Linked DNA regions of Diceros bicornis minor. The protein of the gene in region 1 binds, or shares a complex with, the protein of each later gene. Links are inferred from orthologs where the notes say so. Each region holds a gene or a part of one and is shown in the gene's direction. Other genes may lie near its edges.

Region 1 (7,310 bases):
CTTCTCTGAAGAACGTCCTCTCCCGCCTGCTCCCACAGAAGCTGGAACAGGGTGGGCACAGGACACCACTCTTGGCTGTCCCAGGAGGCTGTGAGGTTTGTGTCCAGATGGCAGGCCCCATGCTCAGGCATCCAGTGGTCAGATGAGTGGATTCCAAACTGCGTGAGCAGGCTGAAGCTTTTTTGTGAACCCTGAAGGGCAAACCCAGAGCCCAGGTTGCCGCGCAGGGGAGTGGTTAGGGTGCGCAGGAGCAGCGCTCCCTCAGACACAGTGCCTGGGCACCCAGCACACGGTTGCTCCTTCCTCAGATGTGGGAAGTTCTGCACTTCACAGAGCAAGCAGGTGTCTGACCCTTCACGAGACCACAGCCTTGGGGCAGCTGAGGAAATACAGCCAAACCACATCGCTCAGGTCCCACTCACGGGGGTGTGGGGACAGGCTCGGGGTCCAGGTGAGGACGACTCAAGCCCCGAGGCTCACAGCCCCATGCTATTTCCAGGGGACATTTCTGGGTGTTGAACAGTCATGAATTTCCTGGTAAAACAGATGACGACAAAACAACTGTATCCACAGACATCTTTGTGTTTTGATCGTTCCGTGGCCACTGTGACCTGAGTCAGCACAAGGGCCCTGATTCTGGTTTAGACGTCCTTTGATGAGTTTGGGGCAAATGCTTTTTGTATAATGAGTCTAGAGGAATGCCTACCATTTGAGTTTCTGCTTGGAAATAGCTTGGGTAGGGTACCACTGAAGACGGGGGGTGGGAAGTCTGTACTTGGCTTTCCTGTGGCTGGTTGTGGGGCCTCAGAGAGGGGCTCACCGCCTGTACCTGTCTATAACACACAGCATTTGGACAGGACATGTCTGGGGCACTGTCTAGGTCTGACAGTCTGTGACTGTTCACCCTGGGGTGAAGGAGGCCTTGGGGTGCACCTGGCACGTGCCTCAATCATATTAAATAAGGATTTTTCCCTAAAAGCATCAAGTTCCTACTTTGCCACACATTTCAGTTCCTGCAGATGTTGGGGTCAGCGGCTTCTCAAGGCAACCCTGCTTAGCTCAGAGTACTGATGTCCGCAGGGCGACCCGTCCGAGGGTGGGGGCCAGACCAGGGGAGAGAAGCTCAGGGCTTCTCCATTGGAAACTCTGTATTCAGAGTTTAATCCTCTGCGTTCATCCTGTACTTGGAAGCTTCATGTTCTTGGCCGCACATTTGCTTTGTCTGAATCAATTAATCCGTCTCTCTCCTCTCCCCACCTCCAACCTTGCCTTTAGAGGAACATCAATATTCGTGTATAAATTTAAAAATGGCACAAAAAGCTGACTCCCCACTTCCTGCCCCATGTGCAGTCCCGGCTCTCCAGCGAGTCCCTGGGTGGCCGTGGCAGTTGGTCAATGCAGCCCTGTGTGCAGGCCTGGCCGCCCCAGCCGCCCCCACCCCCACCCTCGGCCTCCATTGGCTGCCTCGGCCTGCAGTGGGACTGCACCGGCCTACGCCCCAACCGCCCAGGGAGCAAGGAATAAGAGGCTGCCTCTGCCCATCACTCTTGCCACTCCAGACTCTGCAGCCAGAGGTGACGAGGAGCAGCAACCAACAGCCACTGACGTGAGGACACTCAGGAAAACCTATTCTTTTCTTTTGGGGGCAGGGGATCAAGAGGGTGGGGTTGGGAATGGGGCAGTAGTTTAAAAAGTCCCCTTAGGGTAAATGGCAGCGTTTCAAAAGTGTGGATCTTATTACTGTTTTGTGGGCATGATCACCTCAACTCTAGGTAGCTAGAGATTCATTTGCCTATGTTTTTATTCCTATAAATCGGAGAAACCTCAGGTCTGGTGGCTCAGAGGTGACTGCTGACATTTCTCCAGAAGTACTACAAATAGTGCTTCTTAGAAATATTTTGCAATCTTTGCCCCTTGAAGAGCAGGGTTTTTGCTTCTCCCAGGGGCTGAGAATGACGGGCAACCTGACGCTAGTTTAGCCCTATCTCATAAAGCAACATAAAGCAATGTTTTCTCTTCTCGTGGCTTCTGCCCCAGCCCTTGGTATATACCTGCTTCTCGGTTTTCCAGTTTCCCTCAATGGGAAATGTCAGGGTCCCCCTGGACACCGCTCAGAAATTACATGACAACTGTACAGGTAAATTTACAAGTAAATTTACTATTTAAAAGTAAATTACAAAATGGGTCAAAGAAATTGGGGTTTATGGTGAGTTTAACTTTCCTTAGTCTTACAATTTCTCAGGGAAGTAGGACCCTTTCCTTAGAGGGGACCCTCACATCATGTGTGATGTGTCCCTCTAAGGAGTTAAAGCCCAAAAGTTCTCTTGTTTTTCATATAAAAAGATTAATGCAGAATATTCACAGAATGAAGTGAAAAGGAAACATGGATATTTGATTTATATTTTTCTTAAAAGATAAGCTTTAAACCATCAATTGTTTCTCAAAAGGGAGAATCTAATAGGAAAAAATTTTCCTAATTAACTTGTAGTGTGGTTATGAAGAAAATCACATTTTATGGAGTTTTCGAACATATAGACTATATGTTTTATGCCTTGCCTTTAAAAAAATCCCAGTAGGCATTCTTCATGAAAAATTAGTTTAACCTCCCCTTCCCCAAATCATCACAGACTTTGAGAAGCATCAGGATGATACAAAAGTTTCTCGGGTTTTTTGTTTTGTTACTTAAAAACAAAAAAATCAATAATTGAAAACTTGAGTGCAAAGGATAAGAAGGTATGACCTATTAAAGATTTTAATCCATCTGAATTGTTGTATCTACAAGTGATACATCTGATTTTTAGGGACTTGAGAGCAATACTGATTACTAATAGAGTAAATTTAGCAACGATCAGGCCAAGACAAACATTCTCAATCCTTTTTCCCTTAGGAAATCAGAAATAAGTAAAATTTTAAATATTTTATTCCAGTTTATTTTTAAGATGTGACATATTCAACATGGGAATGATTTTTCAACAATCAGATGTAATTTTTTTTATTATTTTTAACTACGGCAGTGCAAAGATTCTTTAATGATTAGAACTCAAGGCCAAAAGTTGGTAAATTTCTCTGGCTGAGTATCTCAGTTTTAAGAGATAACTGACAAGCCATCCTGTCTAAGATGTGCCTAATTCCCAGGATTAAACAGATATTTCCTCAGTTTGCAGGCTGTGGTATAAGATACATGCTGTGAGGGAAGTAGGAAGTTTCTTACGTTGGCAACTGCAAAGAAACACTTATTCCAGCATTTGTGCGGCCACATCAGTGAACAGGCGACACTCCCCTTGCGCACCAGAGGCAGCTCTTGCGTGAATGCTAAACACCCGCCTGTGGCTCATCTTCCTGCCGCGTTTGCCTAGTCTGCCCCAGAACCAGCTTGATCCCATCACCTGATGACACATTTTTGTTTCCAGTAGGTCAAGGTACCTTTCATTGATCTTCTTTTTCAAAAACATGTGTGGCAATTCTGCTGTATTTATTTTTCCAGCTGAATTTTACAGCTGCTTTGTGGTCATGTTCCTCACCCATCAAAAAAAATCCCATAAATATTTTTATTAAAAATGAGCTAAATTTATGTATTAATTCAAAGGAAAGCAAGTTCCTACATTTTATGATCCTTAGAATCTTTTTGAAGGACCTGCACTTTTCTTGCTAAACTTATTCTTAAGTGATATGTGTGTTGCTATATGAATAGGATTTTTCTACTATGTTTTCTAGTTGTTTACTGATAGAATACAGGAACACTATTGATTTTTGTATTCTCGTTTGGCTCCTAGTCACCTTCTTTCTCATTAATTCTAACGGCTTGCAGTCGACGCTTTGCTCAACCACGCTCTGTCACTCGTCTTGGAGCCCTGCAAGGGCAGAAGGTCGCCAACTGGGGAAGAAGGAGGACTCTAGCCCTGAACTCCCTCACTGTTCTGCCTCTGTATTTTTCCTGAAGTTTCCCATTGGCCAAACCCAACTGGAAGCCAGAGGGCATGGGAACTTATCAGTGGGGCCCACAGGGACAGAGAAGAGAGGAGAGGGTGGGAGAGTGGGTCTAAGAGGCAGACGGGAGAATTGTGACAACTGTGCAAGCTCCCAGAGTGCCCTTCTCTAAGCCTGAAAGAAGATGAGCCAAGGCCGGTCTAGCCCCCTCCTCTGGGTTGAGGTCTGTTTAGATAACACTTTAACTGTTCTATATACAAACAAGGCAGAAGCATGAGAAGACATTTTTCCTTTGTGGCCCCCTAGGATGTCTGAGCTGGAGAAGGCCATGGTGGCCCTCATTGATGTTTTCCATCAATATTCCGGAAGGGAGGGCGACAAGCACAAGCTGAAGAAATCTGAACTCAAGGAGCTCATCAACAATGAGCTTTCCCATTTTTTAGAGGTGAGCCTTGCTTTTTAAAATCAACAGTCTAGCCATTCTCCTCTCCACTTATAAAACCACCTGTACACTTTCTCTTCTGAGCTGCCCTGAGGTGATTCCAGTTCCATTTCAGGACTACTAGGTTTCTTCTGAAAAGTTGTTTTCACAACTGAACCCTCATTATGGAGACTAGCTTAGATGGGCCCCACTGTTTTCATTTTCATCTGTTTTGTGTATAGTAGAAGCATCAAGGAAAAACTGCTGTCTCAAAAGTTCCAAATAATGCTGACTTTTCTCTGAAAAAAGAAATCTGAGGATTTACAGCAATAATGATGGCAGAATGGGATGGAAAATATATTTTCATGACTTATCAAGGGCCATAGTGAACATATAAGCAAGTTGTTATAAATAAGCTTTTGTTTTTGGGAAAAGGACCATTTTGGCTAGATGTTTAGCATGCACCATGCTGATAGAAGATGCCATTCACTCAGCCAAAGTTTACTGAGCACTCACTATGTTCAATACTGGGAGAGACACAGGCCTGAAGCCACGGCCTCTGCTTCTGGGGCACCCAGCCAGGCACATCAGTGAAGGGCCACAACCTACTTGCCTGAGGGCACGAGAGAGGCCCCTGCATCCTTTGGGGGCCCTGAGGCCTTGCAGGGGGCTCCCTGGAGTGAGGACGTTGGAGAAGAGTCGTCTTCAGTTTGAGACCCTAACTTAGGAAGCTGCATGAGGGCCCCCGATGAGCCCTGTCACTCTCCAGGCAGTTCCTGCTCTGGCCTGTGGTGGGAGTACGTCCAGACACCTCATGGAGGACTCACTTCCCTACCCACCGTCTCCACTGCCCTCAGATCAGCCACCCAGCATCCCTACTGCATACCAGTCTTGTGCCTTTGAGGCAAAGAACTGCAGTCCACCTGGCACCTGACCTTCCCTTAGTGCCCAGAACCAAGGTCATTGAAGGGACCAATCACACACAGGGGAAATGGCCAGACAATGAACCAGTGCACTAGTGTCTGACCAAGAGCTACTTCTGGGGAAGATACCAGAGCACCAGGCAGGGCCCTGCTGCACAGTGATGGGGAGCCGCCCTCCTGACCTAGCCGAGCCTCTCTGCACAGGACAAGCCCCAGGTTCCAGCAGCAAGGCAGCACCCGTCGTCTGCAAGGCTGGCTGGGGTTCTCCTGTCCCTACTCCCACCCAAACACTCCGTTGCTGTCAATGGCACTGCCAGAGCAGAGGAAGCAGCCTGGAGGCTTGAAAGGGGTTGGTGTCCTCTAGTTTGATTCTGGGACTGGTTTTCTCAGGCATCCAAGTTCAGAGTGGCAGCTGCCCCACTCACACATTCAGTTATCTAGTCCCAACAATTCTGCCTTCCACTTAACAACCAAAAAGTTCCAGTTTCTGGGGCCGGCCTGGTGGCATAGTGGTTAAGTTTGCACACTCCACTTTGGCGGCCTGGGGTTCGAGGGCCTGGATCCCAGTCGTGGACCTACACACCACTCATCAAACCATGCTGTGGCGTTGTCCCATATACAAAACAGAGGAAGATTGGCACAGATGTTAGCTCAGGGAGAATCTTCCTCATCAAAAAAAAAGTTCCAGTTTCTTCTGTAAAAAGGATTGTTGTAAGGATGAAACAAGACAGTGTTTGTTAAATGCTTAACATATAGTGAAAGCATAACAAGTAGTAGCTACTATTATTAACTATTGACTTTAAAACATAAAAAAAGCTTAGCATGTGGGAACCACAATTTATAAAAGAGAAAGAATTCATGGTCAGTGTATCAAGATATCATGAACATTTGTTGGCCTCATTTTATCAAGGTAATTTCGGTTTGGAGGCAAATCTATAATGTATTGAAATTAATGCACTGCTCCCAACCACCGTTCAGCAGATGTTTATAGGGCCCAGCGCAACCCCCACTGGAATCTCAATCTTTCATATGTTTTATACTCAAGGCAGCAATTGTACATTTTACTTGACTTCTTTGGGCCAAGATCTCCTGCCCTAGGGATTAGTTATTCTGAGCAATCCGCATTTATGCTCTTCTTCAGTGTTCAGTGCCACATTCTTTCCACCACATTTGTAGCCCTGCACTGTGTTTGCTCCTCTGAGCCTTTGTGACACCATTCTCTTGGCTTCACTGTTGGACAAGAGAACTGTCAGGAAAAGTTCCATGCCCTATAAGGTAACTCAACAGGCAAAAAGAACACAAGGAGTTAACAAATTTAGGACATGTTCCCAAGAGTTATTTCAGCCAAAAAACACTTTCAAAACATGAAAATCCACTGGAAGCCTTCACTATAGGAACTTCCACACACAGAAACAATGAAAACCTTAGGGGGGCCAAAAGTTCATTTTTTCTTTCAAGACATTTTCATATAATATGCCCATGCGGATCTAGACTGTAGTCTTCTTTTCCAGGTGTTTTGTTTAAAGTACAGTGATAACAACCTGCAGTTTTTCAGGTCTTGGTTGTTCCATACAGTCTTTTTAAATAGCCCAGACCCCCAGAGGGTTCTGCCTGGCCAACAGTCCCTGGTCACAGGAGAAATCTTTTCTGGCATTTTGTATTGTACATCTTGGATTGTTTCTGATACAAATTATGAAAGCCAGCCAACTTTTAATCATGTTTTGATGTCCTTAAATTTCCTTTAAAAATAAGCTGGGCAATTTCTCTTATCTCTCAGGAAATCAAAGAGCAGGAGGTTGTCGACAAAGTCATGGAAACATTGGACAACGATGGAGATGGTGAATGTGACTTCCAGGAATTTATGGCCTTCGTCGCCATGGTTACCACTGCCTGCCACGAGTTCTTTGAACACCAGTGAACTAAAGAAAGCAGCCAAGCTGTTCCTGTAACAGAGATGAAGGTCACTAAAGGAAGCAGAGAGCAAGGGCTTGCAGGCTAGTAGGAGCCGAGCTTTCCAGCGCGTTGTAGCTAATTAGGAA
Region 2 (7,364 bases), on another chromosome or scaffold:
AGGGCAGGGTAGCCCACCCTCGCAGCACCTGGGACCCTGTGGCTGGGCTCTGTCCCTTCAGCCTGCCCTGCAGAGACCCCGAAGCAGTAAGACTGTCCATCTAATCCAGGAAGAAGTTCTGTTTACAATGTCCCTTTGTCTCTGTGGCCCATTTTGCTTCCAGAAACAACCTTCTTAGAGTGAAACATCTCATTTTAACCTCTATCTTACAGAGGAGGAAACTGAGGCTCAGACAGGGAAAGAGATTGGCCTGGGAGCACTCAGCTAGTGGGTAGCCAGTTCTTGACTTCCCGCCCTGCCCTCTTGGCCTCAAGCCTCTTGTTCACGCTGGTCTCTCTCTACATGGAGTGTCTTTTTTCCTCCTTTCTGCCTGGCCAAGTCCTGTTCATCCTCAGGGTCCAGCTGGACTGCCTCTGCCCTGGAAGGTCTTCCCAGCCCTCACCCCAGGCAGATAGTTACCGGCTCTGGGCACCCTTAGCACCTTGACTGCAGCTCTGTCTGGGGACAGTTGTGTTTTGTTATCGTGTATTTATTTTCAAGAGCTGCCTAAGGACAGGGCCCCAGTCTGCCTTAACATGTGCGCCTCCTAGTGTCTGGCTCCTGGCCTGGGGACAGAGCAGGGGCCCAGTAGCTGTGAGTGATGTCCAGAGGGGAGGCAGGCTGGCCAGCCTTGCTGAGAGGGTGATAATGCAGTGCTTGAGAGTGTAAGCTTTGGAAGCAAACAGACTTTGATTTTGCTCTTAGTTTTCCCCCTTTCTAGCCACATGGCCTTGGGCAAGTCACTTTCTCTCTGAGTCTAGTTTCCTCATCTCTGAAATGGGATGACAGCACCTCCCTTGGAGCTAAGACATAGAGCCTAGCAGAATGCACACCAGCAAAGGTTGAAGGAAAGAATGGCCTCGTGCAATAAATGCTCAATTATTAGGAGGCACACTTCTTGCTGCCACTCCATGCCAGTCCTAACCTAGTGCCTGAGGCCAGCTTCCCCGTCAAGGATGCTTGGGAACTGTGGACCCCTCCTCACCTGCCCAGAGGCGTGCTGGGAGACGCGTCTGGGGACATCTGCCCCACCAGAGGGGGCAGCGCCTGGGAGGCCCTGCGGATGCTGCCAGCTGGAGAAGGGGCTGTTGGTGTCCGTTAGGGCTGGAGGTTGGCAGGTGGGTTTGGGCTGCAGCTGGTAGAGGGAGGCCCAGGGTGGGGACCCTACGGACCAGGGATCAGGCTGGGGGGCTCTGGGCTTCTCTCCCAGCTGCCTTGTGGGAGGAAGTAAATAAGAGGAAGTATCTATGGGGGGAATGGGGCAAGGGACCAAGGGATGTGGTCTGATATCTGTCCTCCCCCACCACTGCCACCAGAGGCCTCACAGGCCCTGCACATACCCTTCAGCGAAGGCAGCTCTGAGACTGTTTCCTTCCTGTTGCCCCTTCCTGTACCCTGCTAGCCACAGAGTCTTCCTTTGCTTCTGAAGGACTTGAGGGTTGGAGGTTCAGCTGGCGCTGGACCAGAGAGCTTTGGGGCTCCAAGGGCTGCCCCAGCCTCCACACCCCTGACTGAAGAAGCTGGGGTGCAATAATAGGCCTCAGTCTAAGGAGGCATCTTTCACAACCCCCGGCAGACCATCATCAGTCTGTTATTGGAGGCCCTGTGAGGACATGAAGGGGAAGTCCATGTGTACGTGGGGGCGTGTGTTTCCACATAGAGGATGTCTGTGGAAATGGTTTCCGATCATCAGCCTGTGTGTATTTGTGTGTGTGTCAGTTCCTGTGGTGTACGGGTGTGAATGATATGGCAAGACCACGTGGAAGGGGGCTGGGCCTGGTCAACCCCTGTCCCATGGCTACCTGCTCCTCCTCAGTCCTCTGTGAGGTCCTTGCTAGGGCCTTCTTCCCCCTTGCCCATCCCAGGGCCCTGGACTGGCAGGCTTCTTCGGGGTAGGGCTGGGTGTGGTGGTGCCTGCTCTGTGGGCTGCCATTTTGGGTGGGCCCAGCTACGGGAAGGTCACTACAGGGGAAGGAGTGTCTACACTTTGGGCTGGGGCAGTCAGAGACTGTGGCCTTGCTTACTTGCTGACATCCCCACATTCTCTCAGGGAATCTTTGCAGGTGTTGGGATGCCCACTGTGTCACCGCCTCATCGCCTTGTGACTTCTTTCTGGGTTCTGGTCTTCTCTCTTTAGGATCAGAGGAGATGAGGAAGGGTGTGTCCCTGGGCCCCCTCTGGAGTCATGGGCTTGGGGTCTGCGGTGTCCCTTCCTCAGCAGGGGAGCCTGACCCATCTTTGTCCCTCCTCCCTGCAGAGGGGGAAGTGAGAAGGAGGGGGTCAGCGACCCTGCCTTCTGGGCCGGGAAGGCTGAAAAAGCAGAAGTAAGGGGAGTAACGGGGCCCTCTGGCCACCGGCTTGAGCCCCACCATGCAGACCCCGGCAGATTTCCCCAGGGTTGAGAGAGACTCACTTCCCTGTCTCAGAAAGGTGAGCAGAGGGTTGGCCTGCCTCCAGTGGTGTCTGTCACCATGACTCTGGGCAAGGAAGGGGTTTAGGGGTGGCTCTGTCCCCTGGGGTTTCCGGATGACTGCCTTTGTCCCCAGGGAGTGTTTTCAGTCAGAGGCAGACAGATAGGTGGAGGCTCAGAGCTCAGGGTGGGGTGGGCAGGGGTTGCTGTGTGGCTTTGGCCCACCTCAGTCCCTCTCTGAGCCAGGCTTCCTGCGTGTCCTGCCCGGGGTTACACTCAGGGGCTTGATTAGCCTGCAGCTTTTGGTGGCTGCAGCTGTTGTGGCTATTCAGGGTCCCCTGAAGATGGGGCTGTGTCTCTGAGGGTCAAGACCTGGAATGGGAAGTCCCCAGACTGACCCTGGTACTGAGGGAGGGGGTGGGCTTGGATGGGCAGGACATGGCTCTGGCTCACTTACCTGCCCACCCTTTCCTGGCACTTGAGTCCTGCTGACCCCAGGCCAGGCGGTAACCAGGGGAAGGACTTGGGTTCAAGCCGGCTCTGCCACTGGTTCCCTTTGAGCCTGGGTGAGTCACTGTCCTCTGGGCCTCAGTTTCCTGTTCCTGAAATGAGGGTAACAGCTTTTGGGATATTTATATCAGAGTGAAAGCCATCAGATTGCACTCAGGAGATGTCCTTCTCAGCCCACTGTCCTAGTCCTGGGCCCTCCTCAGGCCCTGGCGTGGGAAGAAAATCCCAGAGAAATGGAAGGCCTCAGAGATGGGTCTGCCACAAAGACTGGGCTGTTCTCTCAACTGCTGGGGGTTTGCAAGTGATTCCCTCTCACCTCTTTCCCCACCCTGAGGCAGACCAGCAAGAACCTGGAGCTCTGCCCTTGAGTCCAGGGTCTGATTTTCTATGTATCTGTGTGTCTTTCCTGCCTGTGTGGCTGCCCTGGGTGTCTGTCCATCTACTTGGGCCTCACGGACTCTAGCTGTCTCTGTCTGCTGCCCACCTGCCTCTGTTGTTGAGTGCCTGTCTCTGTCTCCACTTGATGAGTGCCTGTCTTCACCTGTTGGGTACATGTGACATGTTGAGTGCCTGTTGGGTCATGTCCCCTTCTGTCTCCACCTGTTGAGTGTGTGTCCCCATCTGTCCACCTGTTGGATGCAAGCCCGCATCTGCCTGTGCCTATTGGGTCCCCATCTGTCTCTGCCTGTTGGGTCCATGTCCCCATCTATCTTTGCCTGTTGGATATGTGTCCCCATCTGCCTCTGCATGTTAGGTGTGAGTCTCTGTCTACCTCTGCCTGTTGGGTGTGAGTCCCCTCCTGCCTCCACTTGTTGGATACATGTCCCCATCTGTTTCCACCTGTTGGATATGTGTTCCTCCTACCTCTGCCTGTTGGATGCCTGCCTTCATCTGTCTTTACCTGTTGGGGGCCTGCCTCTGCCTGTTGGATATCCCTCTTTATCTGCCTCTACATATTAGGTGCCTGTCTCTGCCTGTTGGGTACCCATCTACTCCTTAGCAGCTGGGTTGTCCTGGGGCTTTCCCTTTGCAGGCCCACAGGGAAGATGAGGGGGAGGGCCAGAGGGCAGCCCTCAGGCAATGGGGAGGGGGGAAGAGAGAGGAAGGGAACGTGGTGAGGGTGTAGGCCTGGAGCTGGGAAACCACAGGCCCTGAGTGATTGGCGGCCCTGAGCCTGGCCCAACCCCCGCCTTCACCCTGCACATCCGCCTTGGGCCTGGCCACCTCCGCGGCAGCCCAGGACGCTGCCTGCTCCTGCCATGGTGCCTTGGCCCTGCCGGGCGGATGGAGCAGGATCCCAAGCCGCCCCGTCTGCGGCTCTGGGCCCTGCTCCCCTGGCTACCCAGGAAGCAGCGGCCCAGGACCAGCCAGACCTCTCTGCCTGCCCCTGGCCCTGGCTCTGGCCCCAGGCGGGACTCGGTGAGTGCGTCCAGATGTCTGGTCCTGGCCTGGCTGTGGCCCTTGGAGCAGGTGTCTGGGCAGCCAGGTTGGCCTCAGCTGGCTTTGGGCTCTCTTAGCCCAGGCTTGGCCCTGCTGGGTGACTGGACTCTGCCCAGACTTGCTTCCCTGGGAAGTGAGGAGGGAACCAGGGCTCTGGGGCAATCTTGGCAGATTGGAGGGAGAGCACAGGGGTCCTAGAACAACTAGGCCCTGGCAAGGGGTTTCTAGTAGACTTGTATGAAGGAAGTTTCAGAGGGTGGCGGCGTGGAGCCTCTGGCCTTAGCTTCCTACTTGCCCCAAACTGGCACTTACTGGGTTGGTGGGGAGTCTCAGGTGACTCTTGGGTCCTTATGCATCTCAGCCCTGTTCTTCTGACCAGAGGGATCCGATCATCCATCCTGACCAGGAGCAAAAGCCCAACTCTGCCTCCCCAGTGTGAGAACAAACCCTACTTCCTATTGTGGCAAAACCAAAATCTTTGCAGCAGGGGGAGGGGTGCCCCACAGGGAGGACCTGGGGCAGGTCTGTGGGCCTCAGCCAGAGCCTGGGGTTGGCTCAGCCCGGCTTGCCTGGGCATCTCTTTGGGCCTGACCAGGCCAGAGCAGCAGAAGCAATAGGAGCAGTGCCTCACCTGACCTGGCATCTTGGTAGTTTGACCCTCCCCGGCCTTTGAGGCCCTTTTGTCTTGATGAACCCAGAGTCTGGCTCTGTCAGGGTAGCTGTCTGGTTGGGCCTGGAGGGCCCAGTCTGCTGAGGTCCAGTGGGAGTGGACTTGGATGGGGGGACATGCCCAATTCTGGCCTGGATGGGAGAACTGTGCCCACCATCTCTATCCCTCCATCAGGATGAGGGCATCCTCAAGGAGATCTCCATCACGCACCATGTCAAGGCTGGCTCTGAGAAGGCCGACCCATCCCATTTTGAGCTGCTCAAGGTTCTGGGCCAGGGATCCTTTGGCAAAGTGAGTCTTGAGCCCACAGCTGGGAGGGCAGCACTGGTTGTGTCAGAGGTGGGGGTAAGGAGTCACGTTGGGGCTCAAAGGATCAGAGGGCAAGGGTTGATGGATCTGAGAGAAGGATGAGAGGTCACCTTGGTACCCAAGGAGGGCAAAAGGTCAACTTGGGGCTCAGGGAAGTTAGAGGTCAGCGTGGGATCTGGAGGATGGGAGCTGATGGCCTCAGCCCCATCCCCAGCTTCTCCTCTGCTTTTTCCTGGCTGCCTTTTCAGGTCTTCCTGGTGCGGAAGGTCACCCGGCCTGACAGTGGGCACCTGTATGCCATGAAGGTACTAAAGAAGGCAACGCTGAAAGGTGAGTGGAGGACACCTCCCAATGCAGAGCCCAGGCTGGGTACGGGATTGAGGAGACAGCCCAGCTCTCAAGGGCCCTGGGTCTGATGGAGGAGATCGCTCTATCCCCAGGAGCGCTGGGTAGAAAAACAGGCCTGTTCTCAGCCGCCCCTTACCCCCCACCCCAACTGATCGCAAAGACAGGATCCTGCAAGCCAGGTGCCAATGACCGTAGCTGAAGGTGAATGTCTAGAGGGAGGTGGGATGAGTGCAGTGTGTTTATGGTGAGGCCTTCAAATATGAGGCATCAGATTGGTTGGGCAGAGGCCTTCTGTCAGCAGAGTTGCTTCACAGTGCTAGAAGAGCCTGAGGGAGACCTCTCAGGGTGGAGAAGGGCAGGAGGGAAGAGGCAGGGAGCTCGGGGAAGCAGCTGGGTGGGTAGGAGAGGGTGAGTCAAGGCATTGCCACGGAGATGGATGGCAGAGAGGTTCAGAAGGGAGCCCGAGCCCAGGTCTAGAATTCTAGTACTTACAAAGGGCATGAGGGTGATTGGTAGTGGGCTTTGGGCTGGGCAGGGACTCTTTGACCAGCCTGGGAACCAGTGCGACCACTTACCAAGTGGAGTGGGCCCTAGCTGGGGTGAGGTGGGTAGAATCAGAAGGGTTGGCTTTGGGGACATTAGGGGTCATATGGCCCATGAAGGGCTATCTGTGGGGGTAATGTAGCTTTGGTGCCCCAAGGCTGGCCTGATAGGGGTGATAGTCATTCCTCAGGAGGGATGGTGGGAGCCACGGGGGAGAAGAAAGATGAAAAGGCTTGGTCCCTGCTGTGAAGGGCTCCCAGGCTGTTCGGGAGAGGCTGAGCAGACCCTGGGAGTCTGAGAGGCTGTGCAGTCGGCACTTGGGACCCAGGAGCCCCGGGGAGGGTGGGTGGCAGCCTCACAGCGAGCAGGCTCACATAAGGAGTAGCCATTTGAACTGTTCCTTGAAGGATGCATTAGGAGCTTTCCAGATTGAAAATGGTGGAAGGGTACCCCAGGAAGGAGGAACTGTTTACCTAAGCAAAAGCATAGGGACGGTTTGAAAATGTAAGGTGTATTTAGGAAACAGTGACTGGAATAGTTAACTCCAGCATGGTCCCTGCCATGGCTGGTGAGAGAAATAAAAAATTAAAATAGAGGGTGAAAGGTACTCTGCAGGGGGAAGCACAGCGTGGTAGGAGAGAGGGCCGTGACTCAGCTTGGCAGGTTAAGGAAGACTTCTTGGAGGAGGTGAGGCCTGAATTGAGTCAAAGAAGAACGTGCTGATGATCAGAATTGCCTAGGGACTTTTATTCTTAAAAAAAATTAAGTATGTGGGAGGTGCCATGAGTCTGATTTTTAGGCCCAGGGAATCTGCCTTTCTAACTAGCTCCCCAAGTGACTGTTCTCACCAGCCCCCAGACTGGAAATGGGGGGTTTTATGCCAGATGGAGAGGGGCCCGGTAAAGGCATCCCAGGGGGAGTCACAGGGGCACAGGCTGAGGGCACACAGAGGAATAGATTGCTCAGGCCGGCTGGATTGAATGGCCCTTGATGGGACAGGTGAGAGATGCGGCTAGAGGGATGGGCTAGGCGCCAAGGGCCCAGCCCTGGGCACTGCCGTGAGATGTGAGTAACAAGTGGAGAAAAGAGAGCCCT
Region 3 (7,650 bases), on another chromosome or scaffold:
GCACTTTGTCTGCACCATGTCATTAAATCCTCACAACAGTCCTATGAGGGAGGTACCATTATTATCCCCAATGTATAGATGAAGAAACCGAAGTTTCCAGAGCAAGTTGCCCAAGTTACCTAGAGCTGGAACCAAGATCAAGACCCAGGACTTACTGATTATAAAATCTGTACACTTCACCACTAAGGTACGTGGCTAAAATACATGGAAAACTTTCTATGGGAATCTAGAAGAAGAAATTACTAGCTTTAACTAGAGGGTTCAATGCAGGTTGCGTGGAAAAAGGGATAACTGAACTGAATTTTAAAAAATAGGCAGCAAAGAACATTTCAGAAAGAGCTGCCACAGAGGCATGAGAGACGGTGATGCATAGGTAAGTTGCTTTGTGTGTTTCAGTGACATGTGCATTTGGGGCAGTGGCAGAGATGGGTTTTGATGAGGTTGGTAGCAACCAAATTATGAAGGACAGCATATTCAGGAGAGAGGAGTTACTGAAAAACAAGTTTCTTCAATAATTTCTTGGTAGTTGTAGAATGATCCATGTCAGGCTTCTCCAGGGGTGCCACTTTGTGGACCTTTTCAAATCCAGCTAAGGAAACAGACTACAGGTAGGACACACTCAACTACAAGTAACCAATAGTTTAGGCAATTATTTGATTTAGAAAAACAATTACTTTAAAAATATGCATGGTTTCTGACACTTTTTTACTGTCATAAAGAATATTATTTGAGACCTATTGTGTTCATTGATTATGAGACACTAACAAACAACAAAATATTAGTTGTCTAACACAGGTAGTTTTTCTTAGAAGTGAGGTAAGCCACACTTCAAACTACAGATATTAGTTTTCCAGTGCAGAGATTAAATGATATGGTGTTTTGGAAGTCTACATCTGGTGTAAACATTTAGTGGTCAGTCATATGTACTGAATATTTATCTTATTATACATTATATAATTAATATATATATGTATAAAATAATGGAAAGAACATGAATCTGACCATAGGGACACTTGGGTTCTAAAATAATATCAGCTAGATGTGCAATTTTTATCAAATCATTTAATTTATCTAAGGCTCAACTTACTTGTAAAATGAGGAGATTGTACTAGATGGACTCTAAGATTGTGATTCTATGAAATTAGGTACCTCTGACCTTGACAAGACTAAAATCTAGTTAAGGACATAGAGCACATCCATAGGAAAATAGATTAAGAAGTATACAAGTAACTTAAATACTACAAAAAGAAGAACTTTAAAAAAAAATCATTTTCTGGTGCAGTTAATTGGAAAAGCCAAGATTACATCACTAGTAAGCATAAGAAAGGTGAATTTGTGGGGCCGGCCTGGTGGCATAGTGGTTAAGTTCGAGCGTTCTTCTTCGGCGGCCCAGGTTTCACAAGTTCGGATCCCAGGTGCAGAACTACCCACCGCTTATCAAGCCATGCTGTGGCAGGCGTTCCACATATAAGTAACCAATAAAGTAGAGGAAGATGGGCACGGATGTTAGCCCAGAGCCAATCTTCCTCAGGAAAAAGAGGAGGATTGGCAACAGATGTTAGCTCAGTGTTAATCATCCTCACCACCCCACCCCCCAAAAATAGGTGAACTTGGGAATTAAATGAGAAAAGGGTAGAAATTCTCATTGAGGAGGTAGAGTTGTGTGTGAGAAGCATATTTTGTTTCTTTTCTCTTCATCATAAAACAACTGATTATCAAGAATACCAATACATTTCTAATTGCAGTCATATAATGGTCATTCCATATTTATACCCATTTCGCGTGACAGCTTGAAATCTTCCCAGAATTCCTAGGTTACGTGAATTCTATAATTTCTTTGAACTGTATCAAGAAAGTGGCATTGGGAGGTTTTTGAAATGATTATCAGAAATTATACAAAATTGCTAGTTGTGTCACCATGGGGAACCACATGTAAAGTATCACCAAGGTTACGATTATAAACATAGTCTGACTCAACTTACTGCAAACATACCATATTTGGGTGAGGTTTCTAGAAGAAGACAGCAGCCAATTAGTCAAGCAACAACATTTACTGAGTACCCACTGTGTACAAATTATTGATGTTCGTGTTGCTGAGTAAACAGAAATCAAAAAACAGAAGAAGAAAAAAAGGGAGTACTGTTGATGCAAGAGGTGGTGGTGAGTAGAACTGATGGGATGGAAGAGAAATCACCCTCATTAATTTTTTTTTTTTTTAATTTTTTTTCCCCCCCAAAGCCCCAGTAGATAGTTGTATGTCATAGCTGCACATCCTTCTAGTTGCTGTATGTGGGACGCAGCCTCAGCATGGCTGGAGAAGCGGTGTGTCAGTGCGCGCCCAGGATCCGAACCTGGGCCGCCAGCAGCGGAGCGCGTGCACTTAACCGCTAAGCCATGGGGCCGGCCCATCATTCAGTTTTATTTGGTGGGAGAGCGCCTAGAATTTAGATAGGGAGAAAGAAAGATCTCCAAGTAAAAAGGACAAGAGATATAGAATAAAATGCCTGGATTCCAATCTCTACTCAGTTAATTAGGAGCTGCGCAATCTTGGACAAATATTTAACCTCAGTTTGGCTCCTGTAAAATGGGTATAGTAATGCCGATAAATACCTTACTTCACGAGGTTGCAGTGAGAAATCAATGAAGTAATGACTTGTAAACTGTAAAAGAGTAAACAAGTTATTTATTTACATCCAGTGAGGTCCTTGGCCAAACTGTATGGTTTATTCTCTGTCACGTCTTCTCTGTACCATTTATCCTCAACAGGACACCTGCTTTTCCCTGCATGTGTCAGCAAGCTTCCCCTTTCTGTTGTCTCCCCAAATGGACTATGAGCTTTTCAATAGCATGGCTTCTGTTTGCATTCCATGCAGAAGAAACAATGATTTGCACACCATGAACACTCAGTAAATTACTTAATAACAGTGTTTTGCATATGAATAGTTATTTCAGCTCTCTAAGGTACTCTCACAAGTGTCATTTACATGCAGTTGTCAGATTCATCTTGCTAGACATATTTGTCACTGTTCAAAAGTTGTCAACAGCTTCTCATTTTCTACTGAATAAAGTCTTTTTTTAATATATATATATTTTTATTGAGATATAATTGACATATAATATTGTATTAGTTTTGGGTATACAACATAATGATTAAAGTCTTAACTTCTATCTAAACTCTAAGGCCTTGCTACTCAAAGTGTGGTCTCCAGACCAGTAGCATTGGCATCACCTGGGAGCTTGTAAATCTGATAAATGCAGATTCTCCAGCCCCATCCCAGACCTACTGAATCAGCAACTGCATTTTTTTGTGTGTGAGGAAGATCAGCCCTGAGCTAACATCCATGCCAATCCTCCTCTTTTTTTTGCTGAGGAAGACCGGCCCTGAGCTAACATCTATTGCCAATCCTCCTCCTTTTTTCTTTTTCCCCTTATTCTCCCCAAAGCCCTAGTAGATAGTTGTATGTCATAGTTGCACATCCTTCTAGTTGCTGTATGTGGGATGCCGCCTCAACGTGGCCAGAGAAGCAGTGCGTCGGTGCCCGCCCAGGATCCGAACCCAGGCCGCCAGTAGCAGAGCGCGAGCACTTAACCGTGAAGCCACGGCAGGCGCCAGCAACTGCATTTTAAAAATATTCCTAGCCAATTCATATATACAGTTTTGACTACATCTTCACTCTCTTGCTAAACTTGAAGCTTCAGAAGCTTTCAGATACAGCAAATAAAAGCAGTAGATATCCAATAAAAACTGAGAACAATGAATAATTTTTTAGTATCTCTCAAGTGCTTCATGGGACATACTTATACTTAAAATATATATTGTTTATTTGAAATTCAAATTTTACTGGACTTCCTGTATTTAATCTGTCAACCCTATTCAGAAGGGTAGGATCCATGTCTAACATAATTTTGTATTTCCCTGCAATCGTACTGTGCCTTCCCCAACTGCTCGATATATGTTTGTTTAAGGAATAGACAACCAGCTTAAGAACTGAGGTTTCTCCGGTTTTTGCTTAGCATTGTATATCTCCAGAGACACACAATAAATGACCAACAAATACTTCTCCAATGAATAAATGAATATACCCAGAACGATCTTCCAATTATGGACTGGGTTGGAGTGCATATTTTAATGAAAGCTGAATATTCTTCTAGTAATTTTTTTAAAACCAGAATGTTTAAAAAGCTTCTATTTGTACACTTTTTCACATTTTAGCTGGCAGAGTTCAGGACTTGATGGGAACATAATCAAGGGCTCAGAATGTACTCGTTGCCGACTGGGTCCATATGGTCACTGGTGGGGAAAGAATCCTATATTACTCAGGAGGATGACAGGCCTCCAGCAGGCTGCCGGAGGCGACTCCTCCGCCCTGCCCCCTCCCCACTCCCCCTCGCTCTGCCCCTTCTTCCTCCCCCGCCTCCGAGGCGCCCGCGCACGCGCACAGCCGCGCTCCAGCCCCGCGGGCCAGACGGAGGGAGGCGGGGCTCCCGGGGCGCGTGCGCGGCGGCCTGGGCTGTGGGCCCCTCCCTTGGCGGGGGCGCGCGGCGCGAAGGACTGCACGGAAAGGGGGAAGTCAGGTGGCCGGTGCCGCCGCCGCCGCCGCCGCCGCCGCGGTTTGTCGCCAGAAGGAAAATGGCGGATCTGGAGGAGCAGTTGTCTGATGAGGAGAAGGTAAGAGCCGCGGGGGCGGCGGAGCCCGTCGGTCCGGAAGCGAGCAGAGCCCTGGCGTATCAGCTCGGAATCTGGCCCCTGGGGAAGGGCATTGGTCTGTGCCCTCGCCCGCCTTTCCTCCTCCTCTCCTCGGTGCGCCCAAGTGCCTGCCCCCGTCAGTCACCCCAGGCCCCGCGCGGGGGCAGGTCTCTGCCCGGCCTGCTCGCTTCGCTCCTTGTAGGGTGTGTGCTCCGAAAATAGGAAGCGAGAGCGGGGCGGCGGCGCCTGGCGCGGCGGGCGGGGGCGGGGGGCGCCGAGGGCGGCGGCTGCGGGGACCCTCTGCCTCCGCCTGGGCCCCGGGGCGTTGCGCCCGCGTCTGGGGACTGCGGACGGGTTTGGGTCCCGGCCTGGGAGCGGCCCAAGGGCAGTGCCCAGCCCGACGGCCTGGCGGGCGAGTGTAGCCGGGGTGAGGGGTAGGGGGAAAAAATCGCTTAGGAAGCAGACCTTCACTTATCCCTTCTACTCCCTCCTCCCAGAAGCAAAATCCTTCCTTTCTTGGTTCTCTACGCTTTTTTTCCTTTCCCCGTGGAAGTCTCTCTCTCTCTCTCTTTTTTCCCTCTTTTCTTTTTTTCGGCTTTAGCTGTAGGCTTTGCAGTTCCCATGTTCCCCTGGAGGCAGTGGAGTTGCTCACAAAAGACCCCCCCCCCCCATAGTAGTTGTTTCCTGCTCAGGTTGGCATTTGGTGGCGTCCCATCGTCCTGCTGGGACTTCTTCCGAAGACGGGAGATTGTGCAACTCCTTTTTACTGTATCTTAGATGCTGTGACAGCATTAGAACCAGATGAACGACTTAAGTTCTTAAGTTTTCAGGCATTTAAAGCAAGAAATCTGATGATCGAACTAGTTCTCTTTAATTCGTCGTTTCCTTTGGCTACTGTGAGGCCCTATTCCATAGTGAGGGGGTGTAGACCCTACTAATTTTGAGTAGTTCCTGGAAGGGACCTTGACATTTCTCAGACTCAGAAGTAACTTATTCATAACTATCTATGAATAAGATAGTTTTGGAAGTGTCCGTTCTTAATTTAACAGTGTTCGTTTTTCGAAGTTCCAAAGCAGTACTGCCATGTATGGAGCACAAACACATCATAGTGTTTAAGAAATCCTAATGTAAGCCTAAGAATATTTTCAGTTGAAACTCTCTGCCCTAAGTGTTTTTATATCCTGTGTTCTTGCACTGGAGTGTAATGTTCAATCTCCTTCCCAATGTGATTGTGCAGCAATGAGCCTCGTCTCAGTTTTGGAAATCTTTTTTTTTTTCTTCTTCTTTTGCCCTTGCTTCTGGTGAAATTGATAATAAAACGACAAAATGGGGAGAGCAGCAAGATTCTCCATAATCCACAGCCCTGGTAGGCAGATCCCTGTATACACGAAAGTTACCTTGTAGCCTTGACATTGGTGAATAACCCTAGGTTGGTAACTGAAGATGTACGCAGGCTCGCACACGCGTATTTAAAATTAACTACTGCTAAAAAGTTTTTTAAAGAGATTGTCCTGTTATATTCTGCTGTTTTTAAGTGGTGGTTAGTAGCTCAAGTGGCTAGAAATCTAGCTGAGAAGAGAGTACTCAGTGTGGGAGTTAATATAGAGCTGCCATGTGTTGTAAAGGCCTAAAATAGCAAAGTTTTTTCAAAATGATATGGCAAGATTCCTTATCCAGCACTCTCAGGGCACTAAGCTCCATGAAGGTGGTAGTGCTGGGGGTGTCTTATTCTCTAAGCTTACCCAACACAGTGTTTTAAGAGTGAATAAATGAAAATTCTAATTTGAAAGAATTTGGTGTTTTTGTTTTTATTTATTTCAAGTTTTGTAAGACTATTCTGTAGATATTTTAAAGATAGATTTCATTGCTATATTTAGTAATTTAAGAAAAATACTGACCAAACTTTTGGGTTACATTCAAGTAACTGGTTAGGTGAAATTCTAATACTCTCATCACTTTAGTTATCTAAATGTACTTTTAATCTTTTGGGAGGAGGATGTTGGGTATGAAATCAGAAATAGGATTTAAAAGTGATATTTTTAAACTAATATTTGAATCATGTTACTCTTTCTGCCACCTTGTTTGTAATTTTCAAAAGTAAGCTTTTAATACTTCTACGCTCTTGGAATTTCCATTATTGGTTGCAGATCTAAGGAAGGGAAGCTGTTAAGACTTATGTAGTACCATACTTTGTATATGCCTGGCTCAGTTAGGCAATACATTTGTTAATTTATTGTGCGTTTGAGGTAGGTTTTATTATTACCATTTACAGGTAAGTAAAATAAGGTTTCAAAAGCTTAAAGTAATTCACCTGAGGACACCTAAGTAGGAAGTGGCAGAAGTGATATTTATTTATTTATTTTTTTGTGAGGAAGATCAACCCTGAGCTAACATCCATGCTAATCCTCCTCTTTTTGCTGAGGAAGACCGGCTCTGAGCTAACATCTATTGCCAATCCTCCTCCTTTTTTTTTCCCCCCTCCAAAGCCCCAGTAGATAGTTGTATGTCACAGTTGCACATCCTTCTGCTTGCTGTATGTGGGACGTGGCCTTAGCATGGCGGGAGAAGCGGTGTGTCGGTGTGGGCCCGGGATCCGAACCCCGGGCCGCCAGTAGCGGAGCGCTGAGCACCCAACCACTAAGCCACGGGGCCGGCCCCCAGAGGTGGTATTTAAACCTGAGTTTGAATCCAAAGTTGATGCTGTTGTGACATTACGCTCCCATAAACAGTTGATAATAGGACCCTCTTCTGGGTTTCTCTTTGTTTTTAATTTATTGACAGCTTATTTGAAAAAGGAAAAACAATATTTCTTTTTGTTTTTAAAAAAAATTTAAATACCAAACATCAAATCGTGTCGGGTTCTAAATTTAATTTGTGTTTTGATCATTTTAGAACAAAGGTTACTATTGTTTAACACATTTAAAAGTTTTATGCTACTGGTACAATGTCATATATGCCCTATG
Region 4 (7,362 bases), on another chromosome or scaffold:
AAGGTGAATTAAAGTTAAACAGGTTTCGGGGCCAGCTGGGTGGTGCAGCGGTTAAGTGCGCGCGCTCTGCTTCGGCGGCCCGGGGTTCGCAGGTTCGGATCTGGGGCGCACACCAACGCACGACTTGTCAAGCCATGCTGTGGTGGCGTCCCATATAAACTAGAGGAAGACGGGCACAGATGTTAGCCCAGGGCCAATCTTCATCAGCAAAAAAAGAGGAGGATTGGCATCGGATGTTAGCTCAAGGCTAGTCTACCTCACACACACACAAAAAAGTTAAACAGGTTTCTTTATTGTGGGACTTCTCAGAATAACAATGGCCAAAATTCATTAAGCCTTCACTCTGAGCTAGCTCCCATGTTGCTGCAAGCTTTTACACATATCATCTCATTCAGTCCTCATAATCCTATGAAGTTGATACTATTATTATCCTCAGTTTACAGATGAGGAAATCAGGGTTTAGAAAAGTTAACTTGCTCAAAGGCATGCAACTAAAGTGACAGTTAGCCTGGCTTCAAAACCCTGCTCTTAAACACTCCAGAGAGGGGCCGGCCCCATGGCTTAGCAGTTAAGTGTGTGGGCTCCGCTACTGGCGGCCCGGGTTCGGATCCTGGGCAAGTTCCGACACACTGCTTGGCCGGCCATGCTGAGGTGGTGTCCCACATACAGCAACTAAGAAGGATGTGCAACTATGACATACAACTATCTAGTGGGGCTTTGGGGAGAAAAAGGGAAAAAAAGGAGGAGGATTGGCAATAGATGTTAGCTCAGGGCCGGTCTTCCTCAGCAAAAAGAGGAGGATTGGCATGGACGTTAGCTCAGGGCTGATCTTCCTCACACACACAAAAAAGCACTCCAGAGAAGATAACTGGCAGCCTATTGGCTGAATTCAAGACAGAGATAAATTTTTAGTCTGCCCAATACTGCTCACATTAAAGTACTGGGAGATCTTATATAAAAACTTGTATAATAAGGTTCTCTTGAAATCTTTTAAAGAATTGGAAGATCTGGTAATACTGGTCTGCAAGTCTAAATGGCAACAATTAGCTTTAGTGTCTTCTAGAAGGAGCATGCACTGTCCAGATTACCCAGTCCTCAAATAAGGAATTTAATTCTTACACTCTGTCCATTTCACTCATTTTTGTTACCAAGCTGGGCCCTGCAGGTATTTAGCTCACAACTCACCTCCCAGCCCCTGCCCCCTACCATATATAGTAGTCTTTTACATGCAAATAAATACTGCCAATTTCTAAAAGTGGGAGGAAGATGCAATGTTTTTTCAAATACTGAACACATTTTGAGCATACTGATCTATAAGTATTCATAATTACTGTAGCCATATAAAAAGATCTGATCTTTAGATAAACACCAAAGCATGAAAGAAATGGAAACTACTTACAAATATTAGTCCTGATATCAAAGAAGATGTCCCTGTAAGGGCCACATAGAATTTGGGTGTCAATGAATTTAAAAATACTGTCACTGCCAAAAGGAAAAAAAAAATCAGTTTAAAAAAGTGCAAATTCAAAGTACTCAAGTTACAAATATGTAGGTATCTTTATGAGTGAAGGAACACGAGTAGTATTAATATCTGGTATGAGATTCATTTGAGAAAGTTGTAAATTTTAATTTTTTAAATTTTAATTTTGTAAATTTAAAAAGCTAAATTCCCACTGTATCATATCTTAAAAATGCCTTCACACATGTAAGCATAGAATTTTACACTGTTGATTTGTTAAATAAGCAAATCAAAATGAGATAATTTAGCTTGTTTTTGAGAATAAAACTAAGAACTTATAAAGCATAATTTAGACAAGAACTTTTACAAATCTATAAGGATAAGCTAAATAAACATCCTGTTACAAAGGTTTAAAACCACTCCCTCACGATTTGGTGAGACACAAACCTGCCTTTCAAATTAGAAGGAGGGAAACAGTGTATGTATTTGATATGTCAGCTTGAGAGGCAAAACAGACCAAAGATAACAGCAACAAACTGAGAGCTCCCTGCACCTGACTCACTGAAAGCCTGGACCAGATTCTTCAAATAATTGTCTCATAAATACTTTTGGTTTTAGAAAGAAATAAAAATCTATAATAGTCAACTACTCTCATCTAAACAGTGTTACCTAGTTAACACACAGAAAAATAAATGATAAACTCAATGAATAACATTTCACTGAGCATACAAACCACTAGTAAGCACTTCATTAACCTGTTACAGACACCAAATTAGCTCCTTCAAACAGTCTAAGAAGAACAATTCATTTAGCTTGTTTTAGTGTGCTAATTATATCTGAATTTACATAGTACCTATGTTCTAAAAAGTCTAAAATATTTCAGAACATTATCTCAGTCTTTCACATCATGTCAAGGAAAAGAAAAGGGGACATTTGCCTTTTCTTTCTACAGAAAAATAAACCACAGTACTGATAGTTCACAGTCATCACATAACAGAAATACTTTCATCTTGGTCTGAGGTTGCTGCTCAGAGCTTGAGTTGAAATATTGTAATGACAGGGTAAGAGGCGCTGGCTCCCATCCACTTAGTCCTGGCTCTAGCTAAAGGACAATATTTGCTGAATCCACGGGGATCATCACTTCTTACACGTCTTTGTATCTTCAGGCCAGACTACATAGCAAGCTCTCTAAAAATGTGGAAAGAACTAAGAAAAGAACCCACTGCTGTTCGTGGCTCTCTTTCTCTTCCTGCACTGTTCTATTTTATTACTAAAGATAAAGCCTAAAACAAAGAACAGACAAAGATATCACGAAAACTGTTTCTTGACAGAACTATTTTAAAACATGAGAATGGTTGGCTAAGATCATTTTCTTTCTTTTAGATCTTTGAATTACAGAAGCGCTCGTCTTTGTTGTCTGGGTGTGGGTACTCGCAGCTGAGCAGCGGGAGACTCAAAGAAATGATTTTTAAGGGATCCTACCAACGGTGCGGGTGTATATAAATCCTGCATCCAAGTCTGAAAATGCTCTCATCTGTCCTACCACCTGAAGCTTACAGCTTGTCAGGTGGCTTTTCCTCGGGTAAACGAGGACAGAAGACAGAGGGCGGATCTTAAGAGCTCTTGGGAGGAGCCGGTAGCAGCAGCTCAGGTTTGACAATCAGCTGCGGGGTTCTGACCCAGGAGAAAAGAACCCACTTGGTCGCGGACCACCGACTCATGCTCCGAGGCCCTCCAGTGACTACTGAGAATCTCTGCCCTTTGGCCTTTGTCCCCGGCACCTCTCCTGGCCCTGCCGCCCGTCCCCGGGGAAGTCTGGGCCTCTCACCCGCTGCCAAATTCTCACACAGCCTCAGCGGGACTCTCAGAGCATAAAGCAGCCCCAGCCCCGCCACGAACCACAGCGAGGCCCCAGTCCCTGCCAGCCCTGCCCGCAGCCGCTCCCTCCAGCCCAGCGGCGGGCTCAGGCCGGGAGTAGGTACAGGAGAAGAGGCCGCAGTAGTCGCGGCTTCACCCAGGCCGTCACCGTCCGCCATCTTGCCGCTCCCTCAGACGCCGGGAGCTGGGAGGGGAGGGCAGGAAACTGGGAGTCGGGAATCCTGGGATAGTGGCGGACCTGAAGTCGGTCTCTGTGAAGGCTGAAAGTTCCAGGGCACGGGGACTGAGCTTTGGCAAGTGGAGGAACGCGCCAGGAGTGGGGCTACCTCCTCCTTCGAAGGGCGGGAAGGGGCGAATAGCAGCACCTATTCTGGAGGAACTGGACTGACATGTGACCCCAGAATGAAGTGTTTTTGCTTCCCTACGATGTGACCCCAGAATGAAGTGTTTTTGCTTCCCTACGAGTGAGGATCACCTTTCACCCCATTCCTGGGGTTGGAAAATCCACCGATCGTTCGAGGGGCCGAGCAGCACTTAGCCCTTTGGACTCGGCTGTCATAGAGATCACTGGTACTGGGAAAACCCATAGAAGTAGCAACTGCTATTTGGTCGGATGGAGCTCGGGCGCCAAGAACAGTCGAAACACGCTCCCAGCGTCCTATAGACGAATGGGGAAATGAACGTAACTCAGTGAGAAAGATACTAGACTTAAAATCCTTTCAGGCAAAGCCGACTTCCTGGGGCGCTAGCGCCCGAAGCCATCACCCCCGCCCGTAACTGACATGGCGCCCTCTCGGTCGGCGTTTCCGGGCTGGTCCTTCCGACGGCCCCCGCGGTGATTCCATCACTCGGCTTTCTTCCCGGCCTGCCTCGCGCCGGGGCCGGGCTGTGCCAGAGCAGCCCAAGATGGCCGACTTCGACGATCGGGTGTCGGATGAGGAGAAGGTAAGGGGTCCGCATCTTCTCTTACCTGGTCCCGCGACAGGAAACAGGGGCCCGACCTGGCCGCAGTGGGAACCCTGGCAGCGTCCCCAGGAGAAAGAAGCTTTTTGGCCCGTGCTGGCATACGCTCTCCGCAGTCGGGACGCTTCCCTCTTGAGGGGCTTTCCTTTGCCTCACGGTGGCTCCAGTTCCCCATTCCTCAACTCTCTGCTTTTCCTCCGGGGCCTGAGGCACAGCCCAGTGGCCTTCCTGCAGAAGAGACTTTCCCTTATTGAATAGTAACTGTGGACTCTTTTCTGTAATTAAGAGAGGGGGCGATGGTGATGTCGCGACGTATCAGGAAGCAGTTATTTTACCCGCCTTTAGCTTTTGGGGCTCACCCCATCCCCCCATTTTTAGATATGATTGAGACTAGTTTAGAGCAAGTCACTTCCTGGTCAGGGTGGCCTCTTAACTTCCCTTTTGCTCCTCCTTCCTCAGGAAGTGATTTTGCTGTCACGACTCCTCGACAGGGAAAGGTCCCCATGTGTTGTCCGCCTCTCCACACATCCACCTCTTTTCTCACATGCTATCGGCTGAACTAATTCGCAGTGATAAATGTGTAAGCCCCAGGACATTTGCTTCAGAATTTGAACACCACTCTTTTCCCCGCAGACACTCCCTTGATTGTATGTGTGTACGTACGGCCCCCGCGGCGACTCCATCCACTGCGGCTTACATCCTCAACATAATTTTTGAAAAATAGTTTTCGATTTCTTGTTAACAAATCAAGAATAGCCAACGGATTTTCTTTTAAAACTCCAGAAAGGCTTTGTATATAGCACACACCTTATGTTAACACATTCAGGTCTGGACAAAGCATTGTGCCTTCTTTGATGCTCCACTGTGGTGTCTGATTATAGTTGAATTTGCCAGTGTGTGATTTGTATACTTAGTTCTTAAAAAGTGTCTTAAATACAAAAGCATATTCTACCTTAGGTGGAATAACTTTTTTTCTGACAACTGCACACTTAACAGTTTGTCAGGCTTTTCGGTAAATACATGATTTCGGGGCCTGTAGAAATTAGAATGCTTTCACTAGACGACTTGTTATAGGACAAGAATTATGTCTTTTGTTTCCACGGTGGCTATTACAAAATGTGCCCCCTTGAGTTCTCTGTAAATGTATCTGAGCTCATTCTTTTTTTAATAAAAGAGATTGAGGTGTAGGAGGGAACTGTTTATGATCCGTGAGTTCTCTGTACAGAATAATTTGATACATCACACCTGCATATGGCATGCCATTTTGAAATGCTGAAGAATGTGCCAAACACTCACAGGCCAGTGAACGACACTTTAGCATTAGATTTTCTCTGTCTTGGAAATTCTCATAGATGTATAAGATTAGGGGGGAAAAGGCATCTTAAATATGAACTTATGCTGGAGAAAAATCTAGAATAAAATGCTTATTCTAAGGCAAATTGTTTTGATTCAGATGAAATTAAATTACAGTGAAGATCATGGGATAATAAAACATTTTTTAGCCCAACTGATGGTCCACTTATTTTAAGCAAAAATATTACAACAATATTTCACTAAGAATTTAAATAACAATAAACTTAGGAGTTTATTGTGCCTGAGCGATACTACATTTACCAGTGCTGTTGAGTTTTGTCTTTGACACCAGGTTAGAATGCCCTTTTAATTAAACTTTGGGAAATATATCTGTATTTCAAAGTGCAAATTAAGATGTCTTTGGATATTAACAGTGTTTAAATTAATACTTAATAGTCTTGATTTTATAACAGAAGATCTGTGACCAGTTTCCTCTTGTCTCCCAGCATACTTCTTTTTGTGGTTTAATTGTAATAATGACATAGCAAGCAAATCATAATTAGTAAGGTAAATCTACTGCCAAAAAATACTGATGAATTTCATATTCAGTAAACAGTTTTTAGATTAACCACATTGTCTTCATTACTGTGGATAATGAGAATAGCTGATACAGTAAAAATCTTGTATAATAAATCTATATGATTTGAGATTACTGAAATTTTGTTAGATTCTTATTCCCAGACAGAGATGAAACCCATCTGTATTTCTCTGTTGTGAATCTGTAAGTAAAAAGAAAGAGCTTTGACTTGTAAGATTACTTTAATTCTCCTTCAGCTTCATACCTGCTTTGCCCCCTTTTCCTCCAGACTCCTGATTCCTTTTAACTGAATTCGAGAATTGAGAAATTTTTCCAACAAGATTTCTTGATGTGAATATCTTAGCATTCAGAAACAATAAATAATCCTTAAATGAGATTCTTGGCCTAGAAAACCTTCACAACTGAGACACTATTACAAACAAGGTATTTTCAGCCTTAGTTTGTATTGATTCTTCCTTGAAGGAACTCTAGTTTCCATTTTTTTTCCTCTTTTTAGCTAAGACCTCAAGTGCATTCGATTTATTTATTTATTTTTTATGGCATGTGTGTCATGATGCTGAATATATTTTAGTGCTGCTTTTTATCTTTGTTACATTTTCTGAAAGCAGTGAACCCAGAGGTGAATTTGGTGGTGATGGGCTCTGATTTCCTTGCAAGTGTTTTCTATAAAAGCTAATAAGATCAACCATTCTCATAACTACTGCTGAAGTTTTTATCACTTTGTAAAGAGGAAGTTGGGTTTGTTAACTTCTGCACTGTTACCTGAAATGGTCATGATGAGCTGCCTAAATAAAACAGGAAGTTGAAAGTGTAATAAGTTGCAGAAATAAATGCTTTTAGTCTTGTCCTCAAGTTCAGTTTCTGAGAATGAGCTGTACTCCTCTGGTTACTTAGACTCTTCAGTTACTTGATTGCAAATGCTTAACAAGACCAAAATGGTAAGATACCATAATTAGGAAACTTAAAATATGAGATGAACTACTTGTTTGGGTTCTTTGCACTCTCCGTTTCCTTTATTTCATGATTCAGCATTTTTGAAATATAAATGCAAACAGTTTTAGGGCTGAAAAAAAGTGCCATAAGCATATTTTTTCCCTTCAGCCTAACTATCAGAATATTTGTGTACAACTTCAAAAGTACCGTAACTGAGAAATGATCTATGTGCTTTAAG

The links.
Region 2: the proteins of S100B (region 1) and RPS6KA1 are in contact, whole or in part, in a crystal structure (PDB 5CSJ), measured with the Homo sapiens proteins. The link is inferred for Diceros bicornis minor from reciprocal best matches to the Homo sapiens genes S100B and RPS6KA1. Residues at the interface, in NP_006263.1 of Homo sapiens: Ser42, His43, Phe44, Leu45, Glu46, Ile48, Val53, Val57, Ala84; in NP_002944.2 of Homo sapiens: Ala697, Met698, Ala699, Ala700, Thr701, Ser703.
Region 3: the proteins of S100B (region 1) and CAPZA2 are in contact, whole or in part, in a crystal structure (PDB 3RM1), measured with the Bos taurus proteins. The link is inferred for Diceros bicornis minor from reciprocal best matches to the Homo sapiens genes S100B and CAPZA2. Residues at the interface, in NP_001029727.1 of Bos taurus: Ile37, His43, Phe44, Leu45, Glu46, Ile48, Lys56, Val57, Thr60, Phe77, Met80, Ile81, Ala84, Cys85, Phe88; in NP_001013016.1 of Bos taurus: Thr267, Lys268, Ile269, Trp271, Ile274, Leu275.
Region 4: the proteins of S100B (region 1) and CAPZA1 are in contact, whole or in part, in an NMR structure (PDB 1MQ1), measured with the Homo sapiens proteins. The link is inferred for Diceros bicornis minor from reciprocal best matches to the Homo sapiens genes S100B and CAPZA1. Residues at the interface, in NP_006263.1 of Homo sapiens: Glu46, Glu47, Lys49, Val53, Lys56, Val57, Thr60, Phe77, Met80, Val81, Ala84, Cys85, Glu87; in NP_006126.1 of Homo sapiens: Thr265, Arg266, Ile269, Asp270, Trp271, Asn272, Lys273, Ile274, Leu275.

What each region holds. Positions count from the first base shown.
Region 1 is NC_080766.1:45,978,102-45,985,411, reverse strand, and holds S100B (protein S100-B), read left to right. Parts: upstream 1-4,234; coding exon 4,235-4,372; intron 4,373-7,048; coding exon 7,049-7,189; downstream 7,190-7,310. UniProt on the Homo sapiens protein: Small zinc- and- and calcium-binding protein that is highly expressed in astrocytes and constitutes one of the most abundant soluble proteins in brain.
Region 2 is NC_080752.1:42,391,138-42,398,501, forward strand, and holds the start of RPS6KA1 (ribosomal protein S6 kinase alpha-1), read left to right. Parts: upstream 1-4,124; 5' UTR 4,125-4,243; coding exon 4,244-4,378; intron 4,379-5,243; coding exon 5,244-5,360; intron 5,361-5,626; coding exon 5,627-5,708; intron 5,709-7,364. UniProt on the Homo sapiens protein: Serine/threonine-protein kinase that acts downstream of ERK (MAPK1/ERK2 and MAPK3/ERK1) signaling and mediates mitogenic and stress-induced activation of the transcription factors CREB1, ETV1/ER81 and NR4A1/NUR77, regulates translation through RPS6 and EIF4B phosphorylation, and mediates cellular proliferation, survival, and differentiation by modulating mTOR signaling and repressing pro-apoptotic function of BAD and DAPK1.
Region 3 is NC_080742.1:67,796,512-67,804,161, forward strand, and holds the start of CAPZA2 (F-actin-capping protein subunit alpha-2), read left to right. Parts: upstream 1-4,516; 5' UTR 4,517-4,630; coding exon 4,631-4,669; intron 4,670-4,828; exon of another isoform or gene 4,829-5,092; intron 5,093-7,650. UniProt on the Homo sapiens protein: F-actin-capping proteins bind in a Ca(2+)-independent manner to the fast growing ends of actin filaments (barbed end) thereby blocking the exchange of subunits at these ends.
Region 4 is NC_080743.1:45,382,503-45,389,864, forward strand, and holds the start of CAPZA1 (F-actin-capping protein subunit alpha-1), read left to right. Parts: upstream 1-4,118; 5' UTR 4,119-4,243; coding exon 4,244-4,282; intron 4,283-7,362. Other genes in the region: ST7L (suppressor of tumorigenicity 7 protein-like), read right to left, coding at 1,400-1,482, 3,288-3,495. UniProt on the Homo sapiens protein: F-actin-capping proteins bind in a Ca(2+)-independent manner to the fast growing ends of actin filaments (barbed end) thereby blocking the exchange of subunits at these ends.